Drosophila melanogaster: one gene and its partner. The protein of the gene in region 2 binds, or shares a complex with, the protein of the main gene of each other region. Each region holds a gene or a part of one and is shown on either strand. Other genes may lie near its edges.

Region 1 (4,215 bases), on a different chromosome or scaffold from region 2:
TATCCACAAAATAATCTCTCAGTGTTAAAGTTATCCGCATGAAACTTTCCCATTGCAAAAAGTATAAAAGTCGGTACGGACCATATAATACATAAATGATTGCTGAAGGAATATGCGGAGCACTAGAAAGTATAGAAAATAAATCATAATTTCTTAGTTCATAAAAGGTTTTAATTCGGTATACATTAGGTATTTTTCAATAAGCTTTCAGTCAATAATTCCCAGCACTCGAGCCTTGCTGAGAAAATCTGTGCGCTGCACATAGGAACCGGACATGGTACGACTTCCTGTGTATGCCTCTCGACCATGGAGCACTCTCCAGTTATCGAAAAGAACAATGCTGCCGGGACATAGCTTGAGAGCCCACTGCTGTTGCTTATCCCTGACGATTAGCAAAAGCTGGCGAAGACTGTCATAGAACTCGGCCATTTCGGCTTGAGGGATGGTATTAAACACGGCGCGATCATATACATTTAGTCTGAGTTGAACAAATTCCTGAGTCAGTGGATCCACCTGTATAATGGGGGCAGTGTGGTAGTGGTGCTCCCCTTTTTCGATGTACTCTCCAGGAACTTGGACACTGCACAGTACATCATAAGCGGCGGGATACCGGCGTTTCAGTTCGTGAACCACATGCAGACCATCAACAAAGAAATTTTCGCCACCCGATCCCGAGTGCTCAATGCAATGTAGAGCCTGTAGTCCGGCTGCATCGCAGAAATAGGTATTATCCGTATGGGAACCCAGGTAAAGTTTGGTATAAGCGGTGTCCGCGTGATCGGGGTTATCGCTAAAAGTCCACATTTCGCCAAAGAACGTTTTCATAAGGGGGAAAACTCGTCGCAGAGCCAATTCTGTCATATTCGCGGTGGGAGCCACATCATCGATAAAGACAATGCCATAACGCACCAGAGATTCAACCAGGGATCTGACTTCGTTATCACTGGAAACCAGCTGGGGCAATGGGAATCGTAAGTGCCGTTCGTTTTGCAAGATAATGCTACGATTCCATGGTGTCAGATTAGTGGACTTTGATCGCCGACCTATCAACCTCTCCAGCTGTGAGTCGAAGATAAAGTCCAGGTCATAGTTCGACTTGTGAGCATCACTCCCTAAAATGGCAGGCCAATAAAATCGAAGCTAGGTGCATTTTACATCAATTTTTTCTTACACTGCACTTGTAGATTCATCCCGTCGTATTTGACATCTAGTGGCATTATATCAGCTGGTAGATCTAAGACATCGTATCGCCTCTGATTTGTTTCGAAATTTAGACACTCCACACATCGACAATGATCACGGAGCCAAAACTCATTGATTTCTATTGATTGGCTGGTTTTCGGGTGCTTCAAAAGCAACATGTTAATGCCAATAGAACAACCGACGGACTAGAGCAGTGAAAGTGAACTAACAGCTCAAAGTTTGATTAAGTTTCAGCTCGGTTTTAATTGTACTGTTATCAGTAGGAGAGCGATTACTTTCATGCTCAAGTCAGAGATAAGAACTTATTTGTTTACGGAATAACTATAAGATTAATAAATTTATTGAATTTAAAGACAATATGTAATTATTAAGAACAACTCATGAAAGTAAAAAAATTTATAATTTAATCAAGATTGATTGAATGGTATGTTTTTGTTGCAAAGTTATCTTAGTGAATTGCTACTCAAGTTGTTGTATTTTTTATTAAAAAATCATTACTTTAAAGAAAATATAAATATTAATTTCAAATATCTTTTATTGAAAGGGATTTTTTCCCATCTCAACAGGCCAAGTAAAATTCAAATGGAAAAACTCTCTCTAAAACTAGAGATCTCTAAGTTTTTAATTCATTTTGTACCGGTTGTGTGGGAAATCATAAAAAATGAAGACTTTCGTTACTTCCTGGGCCGATGAGGTGGATGCGGACTATGTGGATGGACTGCCGCCTTCTAATGAGTACATTAAGGGCGACTTCAAGTACGTGACGGAGTATAAGTTCAACGATGATGGCAAGAAGGTGAAAGTGGTGCGAACCTTCAAGATCGAGAAGCAGATTGTTCCGAAGGCTGTGGCTCGTCGTCGCAACTGGGTTAAGTTTGGGGATTCGCGATCGGACAAGCCCGGACCCAATTCCCAGACGACAATGGCCTCCGAGGAGATCTTTATGCAATTCATCGGCTCCAAAGATTTCGACCAGACCCACGAAACCCAACTTGATCCCGGCAAGAACATCGCCAAGTGCCGCATTTGCAATGGCGAACACTGGAGTGTCAATTGTCCCTACAAGGGCACCTCGATGGATAGCAAAACCGTGATGGAAACCAAGGCCAATGCCGCTGCAGCTGCCGCTATAAGTGATCCCAGCAAGACCGGAAAATATGTACCACCCTTCATGAAGGACGGCGGAGGCATATCTGGCAGCAAAAATTGGGGACGGGGTCGGGATCGGGACGATTCGTCGGCAGTTCGCATCTCAAACCTATCCGAATCCATGACCGAGACTGATCTCGAGGAGCTGGTAAAGAAAATCGGACCACACACCAAGATGTATTTGGCGCGCGAAAAAAACAGCGGCCTCTGCAAGGGATTCGCCTACGTGCACTTCAAGTTCCGCCAGGATGCAGCTGCCGCCATTGAGGTTCTTAATGGCCACGGCTACGACCACTTGATCCTCTGCGTCGAGTGGTCCAAGCCTCAGCCGTAATGGCTATAGCCTTGTGTATTCGCTTCTCTGCTTATTCGAGAACGGAAATGAGCTGCGGTGGCAGTGAAATCAAAATAAAATTCTGGTACACCCTGCAAAATATGCGACCACTTTTATTTTTAATTTGCACACATTCGATAATTACAGAGAATATATTAATAATAATATAAAATCTATTTATTAATGTTTCGTAGTAGATTTTTTCATCTTTCAGTTGAGCAAAGGATATGAATTGAGATAGATATGAAAATTGTTAAAAACAGTCTGGTTCATTTGGGACCACTCAATTTTCGAGTTGATATACCCTTGGACATCCAAGGTGGATGCTTTTTTTAAGTGCATAAAAGAGAAAGCTCGCCTTGAGCGAACTAAAGCCGATAATGCTCCGTTTTAAATGCGATTTTTTCGCCGTGCTCCGCAGCCGTACAAAGGTGAAAGCCACTTAAATGGAAGCCAACGTGGTGCCGGATGATGATGGCACGGCGTTCCCGGCAAGAGCTGAGAAATGCCACAAGACGCTGGCCGGACCGAATGAACATTAATAATTAAATATAAGAGCGGACTTATGCGCACGATACTTGGAGCGGAGCCCCTCAGAACGGGACGCCAACTACGCGACCATGACGTTGAACCGGGAATGAGTGGTCGGTGGATAGTGTTCGCGGGAAAGTCCCGGCTTAGATACACATTTTGAATGAGGGGCGGATCAAAGCCAGGCACAAAAGAAATTTATTTCCATTGTTGTTGCTGTTGCGGTGGTATGGGATGGGTAGCAGCTAAAGCAGAGTCTAAAACAAATTACTGAATAATTTATAAATTAACTTTTTCTGCGGCGCGCTCATTCGTTCGTCCCCGGCCTTTGTTTGAGCGGCAGAATGAATAGGTGGAAGGCGAATGAATGGGTGGCCAGGTGGGCGGCTTGACAGGTTAGTTAGCATTGTGGGGGGGGGGGGGGGTAGTTGGGGGTATGAGGCGCCCTGGTAAGGAGAACGCCCTCGGCCACGCATTTCTTTTTCAGTTTGCACCTTCAGGTCATGTGCGCTCACCGCACGCACACTCACTCACTCTTCCAGAGAAAAACAAACAGAAGATTAAAAGTCAAATGTTAAATAAGAAATACCCAGTAGTTGGAGTTAAAGTGGTATTTAAAGTAAGCAAACTCATTCCAATAACGGATATTTACAAACTTTTTTAAAAGAATCCATGTTCCTATTCAACTTTTTAATTTTTAAGTTTTACCTGTCGTAACTTCTAACAAAACACATTTGAATAGAGGCTAAATAATGTATAAAATTTAGCATAAATAATTTTAATTAGAATAAGAATTAAATAATCCAGAAAGCTATCCCATTAAGTATACGCACACAGCACATTATGTATTTTGAAATATTCTTCATACGCCCTGTGCACTACAGTGCAGTTCACCCCATCTCCCCCATTGTACAGGGTACCGCAGAAACAGGCCATCGACTCGACGGCGTTGAAACTCTCGGGGGCATTTGAATATTCAAATATGCCATTTGCTGGCG
Region 2 (5,556 bases):
TCGTCCTCATGGCTTTCGAAGTAGACGCCCATTTGCTGGCGCTCCCGAACATCGAAGAACACGAGGAACGCGTTGCTGTGAAACTGTTCGGTGCCGCAGCAAATAATCCGACCGTTGGCGTTTCTGTCGAAGCACGAAAGCGATTTGGGCACCGGAGGCACATTAGGGTGCTGCGTGTACTTGAACCGCGCCTGTTCGCCTCTTAGCCGCAGATCGTAGAGGCGCACGTAGCCATCGGTGGTGCCGACCAGGATGTTGTGTGGTCCTTCGTCGAGGAAACGAACGCCACAGATGCTTACGCTCTGCGGCGAATCTGTGGGCGGCAGATAGCTAAAGTTCTCCAGTTTCCCGGCGCCCGAATCCAAATTATAGATATGCACTGCTGAATTGGACAGTCCGGCGGCCATCCGTGAGAATCCTTGATCTGCGGCCAGGCTAAGAACATATTCACGCTGCAAGGACACACTGACTTCGTCCTGCGGCTTGTACTTCAGCTGGAATTCGGCGGCAAGATCCTGTGCGCTACAAGTGTCCTCATCGCCGATGTCTTCCTCGTCTTCCGAGTCCGGAAGCGCTTCCCTCGCAGCTTCTGCAGGATGTACGGATTAATCAGGCCGTCTTGGCAGGCTTATAGCTAATAAAACCTTCGCAATATTTGTTAAAGTCGCTCATTCTTGTCTATTTTTAATTTGCCGCACGTGCATTAAATGACGACAGTGCTGACTATTCAGCTAGATTTAAGCTAACTTGGGCTGAAGACACATTGAATACTTAATAGACGAGTTGAAAGGGATAAGAGTGCACTTCAAATGCGTCAGCACTCTTTCTTTTATGACGAAATCCACTTATTCGACAACTGAATTTATTTTTAACTACTTCAATAATATGATTTTGAAGCCAAGTCACACACCACACCTTGCGATGCTTCTTCTTGGCTATGCAAACAAAGCCGTTCACAGTGAAGCGCCTTCAAATTACGGCGCGCATTGTGATCGTTTTAAATAAATTAAAAATTATGGTTCCTTTGAAAAGTTCATGGTAATGGTAAGATAAAAGCGGCTACCTATAATTAACTCAATTGTCAATCATCAACAGTTCCACCATCATACTTGTACACCCGTACCACACACCCACCCATACAGCACAATAAGCAAGATTTCTTTGTTTTCGTTTAATATCGATCTGTAGTTTTATTCTTTATACAAAAATGAATTTCACAAGAAGCCGTTCCGAATACGACCTACATACATGTGCTGTCGCCATAAGTCAGTTGCCTAAATATTCTTTCGGTTTGGAGTTGGATTTGCGTGTTCGTTGAGGTTTCTTGATTGCCTGACTTGACTATGTAACTCGTTTTGTGTTATGTATGGTTATATAAATATATATTTACATATTTATATAGGTTCTGCCATTTTATATTTAACAAAGGACTCTTATTCCTGCGCAGCATCTCTAACAAGAAGAACTCTTCAACAAGCAACTATGCATTCAATAATTAGATATATGCGGGCTACATTTATAGATCCTATTCACATGAAGTCGTCATAGTCTTCGGTGAAGTCATTTCCGTACTTTTGGTAACCGTCAATGTCCTGCAAAAGAGCGGATTAAATAAGTTCATTCGTTGATCTCGAACGGCGGCGATTGAAACACTCACGTCGTTTTCGGTGCGGAGAGTGACCTTGCCCTTGCCCTTTCCAGCGGGCTTTTTAGCATTGGCCTTTTCCAGCTTCAGCTTTTCCGAGTGCAAGATTTCCACGTTCATCTTGACCTTTTTGATGTCAGCAGCGCTCACTAGATAAGGTGCGAAATCAAATCAGATAAGCCGTCTTTAATTGTCAGCCAGCTAATCACTCACGATTCACGCATAGGCTGCGCACCAGATCCTCAACAAATTGGGGGAAGTGCTCCGACTCGCGGAATTGGCCCACCTTCCAGCTGAGCGTTGCGCCAAATTCCTTGAACTCCTCCTTGGTCTCGGGGTTGAAGGCGTCAAGACCTCCGCACGTACTCGTCACACCGAACGCTTCCTGGGCATGCTTGAGATCAGAGGCCTCCTGGATTTTTTGCAATCGCAGCTTCTCAGCCAACTTTTCTGCAGGCGATAGGTTGGCCAAACGTTTTGCCTCCGCTTCCTCCTCTAGGAGCTGTTAATAACAGATGATAACAATATAGCCAATGATTGAGAAATGCTTTTGAGCCTTATCTCACCGCCTGCTGTTCCAGTTTGGCTTTTAGCGCCTTATTTGGCTTCGGTTTGGCTGGTGCTTCTGTTTTCGTAGGCTTCTCCTCGTCCTTTTTTTCCTCCTCATCCTCCCAGCTGTCCTGTGGGCAGCAAATAAACAAATGATTCGATCAGTCTGCTGCAAAAGTGCACACGTGTACAGCGAAACGAAAGTGAAACCGAGTGCAGAAAAACAAGTTTTGGCCCATGGCATTTGTTGTTGGGCACTTGGATAGTTGGTTTGAATGCGGCACTGCTTTCGATCTCACTTGGATTTCGTTAGTCGCACCTTGATGTCCTCATCCTCGTCCTCGCCCTCCCACTTGTTTACGCTGGCGGCGGCAGTCGGCCGGATGACCACCTCGCTGTCTGCTGCGGATTCTGCCAGGTAACAGAATGAGTTCCAGGAACATGGTGAATAACAATGATTTCAAACGGTTAGTTGGCACAGTGGCTAAAAATACTCATCAAGGCTGGTTGCACGGCACTCCAACAACAACAGCAATAGCAGCAGCAACAACAACAACAACGACGGAGACCACGTTTATTGTCCGCCGTGCAGATGACGCACCGCCCACTCTTCCGCCCAGGCCAATCGCAACTTACCCCAATCGTCGGCCATGTTAATGGTTGCCTATTTGCTTGCGGGATTTGTGCTTCTGGATGGGATGGTGCTGGGATCGACTTGTTTCCAGCCTCGGCAGCGATTTCAGGAATTTTCCAAAACCAAATTTCTGTGGATCTGTAGTGTGCCCAAGGCGCGACTAGCGGAAAATGCGTGGGTAACGTCGCCGATAGTCTGTTGCCATCGAATATTCGTAGTGCGGCCAAGGTGATATCAAGTTATCGACAATTTGAAATTTGTTACCCTACAATATTTCATTTTTCATTTTTTTCCTTTCTTGATTGTAAGATTGCTTATTTTATTTTCAAACACAAATTTGTCAACTTTGTTAAGAAATCTTTAAGTTTTTAAAGATTTGAGTTACCCTACAAGTTTTTTTCAAAAAAAATTCGTGATAAATCTCCCTCTTCGTGGTGTTCTAAGAAACTTACTCTTAGAGTTATAAGGAAAATTGATTCGACTCGATAAATTATATATAGTAGAGAGTATATACATACATAAGCATGTTCTTGATAAGAAGAACTAGCTGTGTCGTTATATACCTCGAACTCCCCAATTGCTGACTAAGGCTATCTTATAGTCGAGGAATTCTTTCGATTGAGAGGCTAAGTCATCCTTATTGGAGTTAGAATTGGTCTAGTTAAGATCTGGATTTGTTTGCAAAATGTGAATTATGTCAAACGTCTGCAATTCTCAATGGTTACATCTGTTTTTAACATAATCATGTTAAATGTGGCTTTTTGTCCCAAGAACGGTTTTAAAGATAATTGTGTACTTTCTTTACTTGACTGTTTTGGCGATTTTGTTAACAAAGAACAACATCCATTTCTGCATGCATAAAAAGTATCATTTTAATAACGTTAAATTAAATTGGTATTCTTACAGATTTGTATTTCATTTTACGTTCATCTTCAGCGATATCATTGATTTTCTTCTTTATCCACTCATAATATGAGGAAGTTTTCGTGTAAACCGCTGGCCCATATCCGTAACTGGAGGGTCCCCCTCCGTAGGACGTTATTCCGGCTAGGTAATAAAATTGATCAGCACCCCTGCCCACCGAAGCCATCAGCGGGCTACCGGAATCTCCCAGTCCGGTGTCGGTGCCATCCCATCCCATGGCACATATCTGGATGTCCTTATCGACGAGCAGTGTTGGATACCGATTCAAGCATTCATCCGGACTCATTCCACTGATGGTGCCTTGGCGAAGTACGGTGCTTTTTTGCTGCAGACCCGAATCGCCCCAGCCGGCAATTTGAAAAGGGAAGTTTTTGAAGGAGGAAGTTGACAATTCAATGCCAGGCCAAATGCAAATGGGTCTGATCTGAAGAGTGTATCTGAAAGAGAGGACATCGATGGGAAAATGTGAAAAGAGGGAACCCCAAAGAGCACACTACTTACTTCACCCGACTCTTCAGACGCAACAGAGCAATGTCGTTGTAGTGTCTTCCATTTCTCGTGTAGTACTGCTCGTGCGGAACCCTCAGATCCACATCGATGTCCACGTGCGCTGGAGCCCATATCTTGGCTCCATTCGGCAGCCAGGTGTAGTCGGGATCGTTCTCGGTGTCATGCTCGCCCAGGCGCACACGTGCCACGTAGAAGTCATTCACATTCAAACAATGGGCTGCCGTCAGCACATAGCGACTGGCGATCAAGGAGCCCGCACACATGGGAGACGGTCGCTGCTTTGCTGTGTAGGCTTCGTAACCCAGCAGGACTGTCCAGGGAAACTGGTTGGACTGTGCCTCCATGCCGCCTACGATATATGACGAAGGAGGACTCTGTCCGCAGACCCTGCTATCTGGTAGTTTATCCCCTGCAACCATCGGGCAGCAGGTAAAAACCATGTGCACTAGCTCGTGGGCAAAAGGATTAATGTTGCATAGTTTGTTCCGGTACTGTGATTTTTGATCGTTTGTCATGTTCCGGGGATGTAGAATCTTCATAAGAGGTTCACATTTGCTCAGTGGGATGCAAATCTCGTCTAGTCGGCAAAAATTGAATTTTGCTAAGGGGGGTAACAAAAATTGACCAATTAATGGAGCTCAAAATGGCCGAAAATAGCATTTGTAACACTGTATGAAATCCTATTAAAGATTGCATTTTCCTGGTAAGACTATAGTTTTGTGTAGCGAAATCAACCCAATGAAGTTCCAATTTTGTAATTATAAGGTATTAATTATTGTTGAGACCAAAAATAGATCCGTGAGCTGCCAAAGTATATATTTAACACTGACACTGATCCGATGAAATTGTAGATATGTATATTGTATTGTAGTTGCCACTATTTACCAAATTGGAAAGAATTCGCCAAGGAAATCGCTTGAAGCAAAAGTGCCAAATAAAAATGGATCGAGACCATCTTGAAATGTCAAAGCCTAACCGAATACTGAATTCAAAAGCCAGTTGGTCTTAAAAGTTCAAGCTTATCTCGATTGCTAAAATGATTCATGGCACGATGTCCAATCCACAACTTTCCTTGGGTTAATTATAATGGCCTGCCTGTCCGTCCGTATGAATGTCGAGATGTCGGAAACATTAAGAGTAAGGAAGCATGTAAGTTTTCTTTAAAACCGTGCCACGCCCCTGTTACGCCCTAAACTCCTAAAACGCTCACATCCTAAAAGTCTTCTGGATACCAGGAAACGTTCAAATCCTACTACTTTTAAACATATCAAAACTGTAGTAATAGATTGATCAG

The links.
Region 1: eIF3j (region 2) and eIF3g2 share a complex: the UniProt entries of both Drosophila melanogaster proteins name them as parts of the eukaryotic translation initiation factor 3 (eIF-3) complex.

The regions. Positions count from the first base shown.
Region 1 is NT_033777.3:20,406,463-20,410,677, forward strand, and holds eIF3g2 (eukaryotic translation initiation factor 3 subunit g2), read left to right. Parts: upstream 1-1,802; 5' UTR 1,803-1,864; coding exon 1,865-2,686; 3' UTR 2,687-2,781; downstream 2,782-4,215. Other genes in the region: Tmlh (trimethyllysine hydroxylase), read right to left, coding at 208-1,112, 1,172-1,361. UniProt on the Drosophila melanogaster protein: RNA-binding component of the eukaryotic translation initiation factor 3 (eIF-3) complex, which is involved in protein synthesis of a specialized repertoire of mRNAs and, together with other initiation factors, stimulates binding of mRNA and methionyl-tRNAi to the 40S ribosome.
Region 2 is NT_033778.4:9,966,510-9,972,065, reverse strand, and holds eIF3j (eukaryotic translation initiation factor 3 subunit j), read right to left. Parts: upstream 3,138-5,556; 5' UTR 2,847-3,137; coding exon 2,831-2,846; intron 2,606-2,830; coding exon 2,514-2,605; intron 2,326-2,513; coding exon 2,212-2,325; intron 2,148-2,211; coding exon 1,859-2,147; intron 1,795-1,858; coding exon 1,658-1,794; intron 1,593-1,657; coding exon 1,530-1,592; 3' UTR 1,169-1,529; downstream 1-1,168. Other genes in the region: CG12134 (uncharacterized protein), read right to left, coding at 1-589, 645-672; CG12133 (uncharacterized protein), read right to left, coding at 3,715-4,189, 4,254-4,801. UniProt on the Drosophila melanogaster protein: Component of the eukaryotic translation initiation factor 3 (eIF-3) complex, which is involved in protein synthesis of a specialized repertoire of mRNAs and, together with other initiation factors, stimulates binding of mRNA and methionyl-tRNAi to the 40S ribosome.